Styela clava: one gene and its partner. The protein of the gene in region 2 binds, or shares a complex with, the protein of the main gene of each other region. Links are inferred from orthologs where the notes say so. Each region holds a gene or a part of one and is shown on either strand. Other genes may lie near its edges.

The links. Proteins that work in one complex are often made in the same cells at the same time.
Region 1: oligosaccharyltransferase complex subunit ostc-B-like (region 2) and dolichyl-diphosphooligosaccharide--protein glycosyltransferase subunit KCP2-like share a complex: the UniProt entries of both Drosophila melanogaster proteins name them as parts of the oligosaccharyltransferase (OST) complex. The link is inferred for Styela clava from reciprocal best matches to the Drosophila melanogaster genes CG9662 and CG31460.

The regions. Positions count from the first base shown.
Region 1 is NC_135264.1:15,861,566-15,865,322, reverse strand, and holds the start of dolichyl-diphosphooligosaccharide--protein glycosyltransferase subunit KCP2-like, read right to left. Parts: upstream 2,452-3,757; 5' UTR 2,374-2,451; coding exon 2,370-2,373; intron 1,930-2,369; coding exon 1,853-1,929; intron 945-1,852; coding exon 736-944; intron 1-735. UniProt on the Drosophila melanogaster protein: Subunit of the oligosaccharyl transferase (OST) complex that catalyzes the initial transfer of a defined glycan (Glc(3)Man(9)GlcNAc(2) in eukaryotes) from the lipid carrier dolichol-pyrophosphate to an asparagine residue within an Asn-X-Ser/Thr consensus motif in nascent polypeptide chains, the first step in protein N-glycosylation.
Region 2 is NC_135260.1:2,438,807-2,442,563, reverse strand, and holds the start of oligosaccharyltransferase complex subunit ostc-B-like, read right to left. Parts: upstream 2,401-3,757; 5' UTR 2,302-2,400; coding exon 2,163-2,301; intron 1,781-2,162; coding exon 1,687-1,780; intron 433-1,686; coding exon 235-432; intron 1-234. Other genes in the region: phosphatidate cytidylyltransferase 2-like, read left to right, coding at 3,176-3,223. UniProt on the Drosophila melanogaster protein: Subunit of the oligosaccharyl transferase (OST) complex that catalyzes the initial transfer of a defined glycan (Glc(3)Man(9)GlcNAc(2) in eukaryotes) from the lipid carrier dolichol-pyrophosphate to an asparagine residue within an Asn-X-Ser/Thr consensus motif in nascent polypeptide chains, the first step in protein N-glycosylation.

The DNA.
Region 1 (3,757 bases), on a different chromosome or scaffold from region 2:
AGGAAATTTGAGTGGGGTCAAAGGTTATAGCAGTGATGGGGATTCTCAAGCCATTGAGGGGAGTTTTATTTTTGACAGACACCATCCTATGCCGTATCAATTTCTGTGCCTAACCAACGGGAAAAGATAATGTTTCATCTACGATAGCACTGGATATTTGTCCGCAACGCTCAAACAAAAAGATGCACTAGCTTTTTGATTAAAATCATTTCGATTAAAAATCATTTCGACTCTTTTCACATCATCCTGGACCCCAGTGCAGTCATCCAAGACGTTTGCGGACCCCAGTTAGGAAAACCTTGGACTTGACTCTGGTTTTAGAGATATTTCTCACAAAACTGGATAATACAGCCACAGGATGTCAGGATGAAACAAAGAAATCTTCACGTTATAATTTCTTACTCTCAAAATGCTTCTGAAGTTATTCATTACGTTTTAAGTAATTTTTTGCTGTTAAGGAACTGCATGTTTCTCGCAGAAATATTTCTTTCCAATTATGGGAACATCTTTATAAGTTTTCAGTATTGCTCTCATGTGATTTAGCAGCAATAGAGACAAATTTATCTAGATTGTCAATATTTACAAGTAACAGAGAGATTTAAACATCTTCATGAACATGCTATCGTTATTTATGAGCTCTTTTGAGTACCATAAAATTTTAGGAAACTCATTTTTGTGAAGTACATTCGACAGAGAATAACAGAAAAATCCAATATATGTTAAAGCGCAACTCACCAAGTTGTTACACAGACCCTGTGAACAAGACCAGACGCAAAACATGCAGCAGCGAGGCATCCAAATACCTCAGGAATAAATTTAGCTTGAAACATGTCGCCGAATAACATCATTTCCAAGTTACTGCAAGCTGTTAATAAGCAGCAGAACAAAAGAGAGCCGAGCACTCCTCCGCCGATAGTAAACCATTCTGATGACGCAAGCTGGACCTGGAAAAGAGAGAAAGATTTTATCAACATGTTGAGGAATTTGTTTAATTTGTTTCCTGAAAATTAGCGTAAACTTATTTCTAAAAATGACATGCGTAAAATATAAAAAATTTATTCTGGTCAAAAACCGATGATCGTTATTCTTTGCGGAAGTATGTATATCATTCCAACCCAGTCTTGATTATTTTTAACGAGGCCACATAGCTGTTTTTCTGCTTGTATTGGCATGAACTACCTAAAGCAGGGGTAGGCAACCTACGGCCCTTGGAGTAATATAATCTGGCCCGCAACGCTTCACTGAATTTAAGTAACAACGTGTAGACTAAATTACCTATATTAAAACCTAACAAGTATACAATTCACAATTACAAGTTTAATGATCCTATAACTTGATTATAATTACACAAATGGCAACAAAACGCTAAAAAGGCAAAGCTAAGTGCAAAGAGTTCGATGGTGCCGAAAGTATACGATTGGCATTTTTCGAGATGCAATGCAATTCGAGGAAATAAATCTATATTCTGTTCGAGAGATGTATCACTGCTTGATTTTTATTATAAAAAGTATCATCCGTTCGGATTTTAACTTTTTTTAAATATGTGCGGCCCGCCAATGACTTGCAACCCTGGCTTAAAGCCTCGGCAGTTGTTGGCACTTAAGTGGCCACAGTAACTTTGCTAAGAGATTAATCTCCTACATTTCTCAGTGTGTGAGATCACTCCTCAAGTTTCCACTGCTTCGTTTGAATTTATATAAATGCTGTTTTTATTTCATAAAGCAGGGATACATTACACCTTAACGGTTAATAACTAAGCCCACGAAAAGTATGGTTTGAACATTGTTAAAGAGAAGATTGTGCAGTATTATATATTCTCATTGACAAAATTTGATTAATAGCTCGGACTCACCTTAAATACTTGCATTGATGAAAACACAACGACAGATAAAAAGGTTGAGACAATAAACGAGTTTGTTGTGCCGAGACCTGCAATATAGGAAGAGTAAATAATAAGGTTGATAAGTGGATCGAAGATTTTGAGGGCTGTAAACTTGAAAGAGCTGTTTACAAAAGAAAATAAAAATATATTTATATTTATGAACTAACAAACATTGAAATATTGCTTTTGACTATGATTAAATAGCAGGTTAAAAGAACACCTGTTCCTCTGTAATAATTTTAAATAAAAATAATTCAAAATTTGAAATTTCCCTTTTTTATTTTAAATCTCGATTACAGGAAAAAGAATCTGATTATCTACTTTCCGGCTTCATCGATATATTATTGAAGCAAAACTAGTCTGAATAGTTCCAAAATGCAAGTGTTGGAGAATAATAGAAATATATTTTACGCTTAAAATAATTGCAGATTTCTACTCCCCAAAAACCGGAAAATATTTCAAAATTTTAAAAACAAAATTTTCTCACCCATTTTGACTTTTAGATTAAAAGTTTCTGGATGCTTTAATATTAAATACGTTATTTAATTCTAAAACAGTTAAGAAATAAATTTCAAGTGCTTAGTTACAGAAATGAATTTTCCGTCCACAGACATTCCATATTTTTATAAATTAACATGTATTATTCACATTATCGTCTATTGCTGATTATGGAGTCGAAATAAACTTTATAACTTATAACAACTCCGATTTGACCGGAAATCAAACTCATAACTTGAACCGCCTTGTGGCTCAAAAAAAGTCTGCAAACCCTTTTGAGATTCTGACATTACTGCATTTTATATAGTGATATCATGGCAGCATGAGTAAACCTGCTTTTTCATTTTGAATGAAAACATACGGTATAAGGCAAAAACGCACATTCTAGCATTTTTAATTACAGCCAGAGAACTATACAACCTACTGACTTAAGTTTGCAATACCAGTAAATAGCGCAGCCACCGGCTACCGAGTCCCTATACGCAAAATCCCTAGCTCATATTCTCAATTTAAAGATAGTTTTGTCATATATATGCAGCAAAATTAAAGCGAATTACAAAACTAACAAAAAAAAGCCGGGACCGCAACATAACACAGCGGCGCGAATAAATGCCACGACGTCGCCGACAAAATACCGGTTTGTTTATTTTCCCTTGATGATGTGGCGTGCTAATTGGTGCGTATCGGAGTTTTATCCCTTGCGGCGTTTTTGTCTGCATTGAAATAATATTTCAAATTACATTAATTCAATTTAGAAAAAATAATCTTGATTGAATCTTAATGATTTATTCTACGAAATTGTTTCATTATCGTCAAAATTGGAGTTTTTAGTAGCACCTAAATATCCTCTTGGGGCAGTAGAGTGCTCGTAATAATGTGGTGATTGGAGTTCCTAATTTTATTAAATTTGTTTCACATATTAACGCTTTCGTCTTAATTATAAGACTAATATTTCTTATTTAATGAGCAAAAATTTTTTTTTACCATTATATCAAATCTACTTTTTTGTTGTACTACCTGTCATTCGAAGTAAAAATTTGCGCTAATTCAAGATACGTAATTTTCAGACCACAACTGAAGATTCTCTGTAAGTAGCTGATGTGCTCTGCCTACGTAGAGCTTGATTTTTAAATTGGAAAGTTTTTGTATGAATCGCTCTGTGTTACAGTTACGGCAAGAGCTTTTTATTGCTCCAATGTGTTATTTTATTTATCTCATGAACATAGTACAATAGCGTTTCTGTCTTAAATAAGTTCGCTATGCATTTTCTTTAGTTGCGCGAGAAATAGCACCATGTCATTTTATGCTGTCAAAATCTTGTTTTCAGATCTTTCTACAACTAGGCTATATCTGTATATACCGTAACTACCGTCCAGT
Region 2 (3,757 bases):
CTACAAGGTGGCATTCTTATTATTACGTGAATGTGCCTATTTTTGCGGAAAGAATTTCTTGCTTTTTTGTAGTTTTCCCAGGCCACAGAAATTTTGGGCCAAAAAATGGAGACCCTCGGCATAAAGAAGCTCTTTACATATCATTAGAAAACAGTGGCTGCTTATGTAGCCTAGTGCCTATTTCGAGGTGAAACGGTGAATAATTGTCGTAAAAAGAAAACAAATTCAACTCACGGTAGCTTCATTCTCATGAAAACTCTTGACATAAAAAAGCTGAGGATGACAGCAATCATGCCAATCACAAGTAGAAGGGTTCGATTGAGTTTTGGAATGTTCGGAGCGTTTGATTTATCCAAGATAATGTATCCTACACCACCTAGTGAGAAAAGAAACGAGGACGCAAGACCTTCCATGATGTATTGACCGTTCACCCTGTCAAAATTAAAAAGAATAAAATAAGCAGAGTTACAGGCACTGAAATGCCCAGAGTGAAAGAAGACTATCTGTAAGCAAAGTTACAGGCAACCACTAAAATTTCATGAGCTACTGGGACTACCGTATATGCTCGTTTCAACGCCCGATCTTGAATAAGGTCCCTTTGAATAGCTGCCCGTGTGAACAGAACATAAAAATACATAAGGACCGGTGCTCGAATACCCGCCCGATGTAAAAGCTGATTTTTCAGTGGTAGAAAACAATAGGAAATAACAGGGCTTTTGTCACAACCCTGTTGAATTTTAAGCGCTGGTAGATAACACTCACGCCTTAGGCGTCCAATTACATAACAGATAGCATTGATTACGTAACACCGTGGTTCTTAAACCGGGCGTCGCGAACCCCAAGTGCGTCATTTCAACGTGCGTTTGACGTGAATTAATTGACATGGAAAAAGGATTGATATCGTCAACTATTTGTTTTCAAAGATACCGTAATTTGTGTGTATAATTTTACTTTAAAAATAAAAAGCGCCCGTGCTTGAATAAGGGCCCGGTTAGTGAGTTTGGTTAAAAAAATATGGGCCCAGGCTACAAAATGAGCAAATACGGTATGTAGAATTAAGTAAGCATGATACACATGAGTGAGGCCAGATTACCACAAGACCTACGCTGATAGTCAGACGGAGCATTTTAAATTTTGAATTTACAAAAATATGAAAATTTGTACAGAAATGAGACTATGATAAAAGCCCTAGAAGAATCCGTATTGAGTAGTGTTGATCTTGGGTATAACGGGTCTGAATTACGGCCAAGTTATATATCTCAAGTAGCTTACATATCTCATGCTTACCACATCACATTATTTCTGTATGGTGAAAAAACAAAATACTGATACCCAGGGTGTAACAAATTGGGTGGCAATGTGAACTGGTAATATAGTTAGACATATTGTGGACTCTGTATATGAGATAGGATTCACATTTTTATCCTGGAGAAAAAAAAAGCCGTTATGGTGGATCACAGCTTCTTGTCAGGTAACCAGTACATATCGGGTATGGGATTAGTTAGCCAGGTATTGGTTTCAGATGCACTTCGTGGTGGAGTAAGCTGTAACCGACCAGCGGTTACGTGAACCACCCTGCAACGGAAAAGAGTCCAGCAATTCAGTTCAGATTCTAGGTGTAAAAACACTTTATAAAAATTTCATGGTGTAGATTAAAGAGGAATATTCAAAATATAGGATACAGACCTATAAGCCAGGAAGGCAACAGGTTTTGCGTTCCCTCTTTCATCGACAGTTTGTCCAACACTAGGTGGCTCAACAATGACATCATAAATAATTCCTAAAACAAAAACAGCCCGTAAGGTGGGTGTACTTTTTCTTTTGTTCTTTTGAACAATATATTTTTATTTATCGGATAAAACCCATTTCTACATAATACACAATACATGGTGTGAAATAAATGGATAGAACATGGTTTGTAGATGAGAAAATGTACAGGAAATTCGACATACTAACAATGTTACTAAAATATGTATAATTCTATAATATGGCTTGCATTGCTAAATCTGTACCTCGTGAAGTCTAAAAGTGACATTGGGCCGCCCTTAATGTAATTACAGTTTAACGCAACACAATGTTTTCCTGGTATAACGGAAAAACATCCGCATTTAACAATATGCTTCTAGAACGAAATTCAAAAACAGAAAATCCAGAAATCTCACCTGCCGTAACCAAAAAATAAGACACCATCACAGCGGCAAAAACGGTCATCGCTGATGGTTGAGAAATCCATGATGGCTTCTTCAGTTTTAAATTAGGTAATTGAAGTACAGAATACGGTATAGAATACAACTTTTCCATCTTATAAATTGTTCAAAAACTCACCAATGTCAGACAAAAAACGACGCTCAATCTACAAGATTCGCTCTCCGAAAATCGTGCATTCGTGGCAAATGAGAAGCAGAGCGTGTCTTTGTGTCAATCAGAAGAGCAATAGTGCGTGAAGTAGTGACGTCAAATAAATCTTACAAAATCACGGAAGTGTTTGTATTGTATAAACATGTTCATTATAGGATATTTTAAAATAATTTTTTTAATAATTTACAATCAAGAACCAGCAATATCAATATTAATTACGCTAGCCCCCGCTATGCAGCATATGATAAGATTTTCGTATTTATCCGAAGGGAGAGGAAAGGTATGATTGGTCCTAATCAGATGGTGAACCATGGGCTCTCGTCAGGTTACCAGCCCATATCGAGTATGAGATTAGTTTAGTTGAATTAGGCAGTTATTTTGCTTCAGATGCTTGGAATTGATGGTAGAGGATACGGTAACGGTAACCGACTACCGGTAGCGGTTGCTTGCTTGCGACGTCAAAGAGTCCAGACCTCTCGCACAAATTCTACATAGTCTTTTTTTTTCAGTTTATTTATTTTTATTTTTTTATTGTTGCTGATATTATCGTATTTTTAATGTTTATTTTCTGATTTGTTATTGAAAATAAACTTAACTATGCGCCACTTGATGACGTCAAAAATACGCCCTTCGCCATGGTTGAGTAATTAACTGTCAATCAATTGAAAAGTAAACAAATCGTCATTTTCCGTGTCGCTGAGGTTTTGTCCTTTTTCAAAGAATTTTGCTGGTTTTATTGCAGCAATAGATTCAAAGTTTAAACGATTGGATTACTGAATATCATCTTAAATTGGAGAATATTTAATAGGAATTGAAAATGGAAACGAGACAACGCAAAAAGCATTCAATTGACAAAGCTGGAGAGGTGAATTTATGATTCTTTTTTTTTTTAGTTTTTTTATGCCGACTGCGAACCCAGGTATTATTTTCGGTGCTGCCAACAACTGAACAATACCTTACGGTTGTGGTTCATCCTATTATGTCAGTCAGTAGTTTATTTCATCTCATGTCGAAGGTACACATTGTACAAACATAATCATTGAGAATGACTGAATGATAAAAAAAATGCATGCATTGCTGAGTGTGGAGAGAGTAAAACCAGTAATGTATATCGAACAGCTTCATCTATGAGGGCTAACTATGCTAAGAGTTAGGTATGCGCTCGTCATTGCACTTCTGATTATTCTGTGTGGGTTCCCAGGTTCCATTTATGTGTGGGAGGATTGGTGGACCCCGCGTCATTGGCCGCCGGGCTTAATAGTTGATCATGTAACTTCTACAGTACTAGGCAGTTACAGCTTTCTTTGCCATCAAGCCCATTCATCTGTAAGCAAAATACTTCTTGGTATGATTAAGCCGTCTTATGGGCTTTTCTCTCCCCTGAGATAAATATGAAATA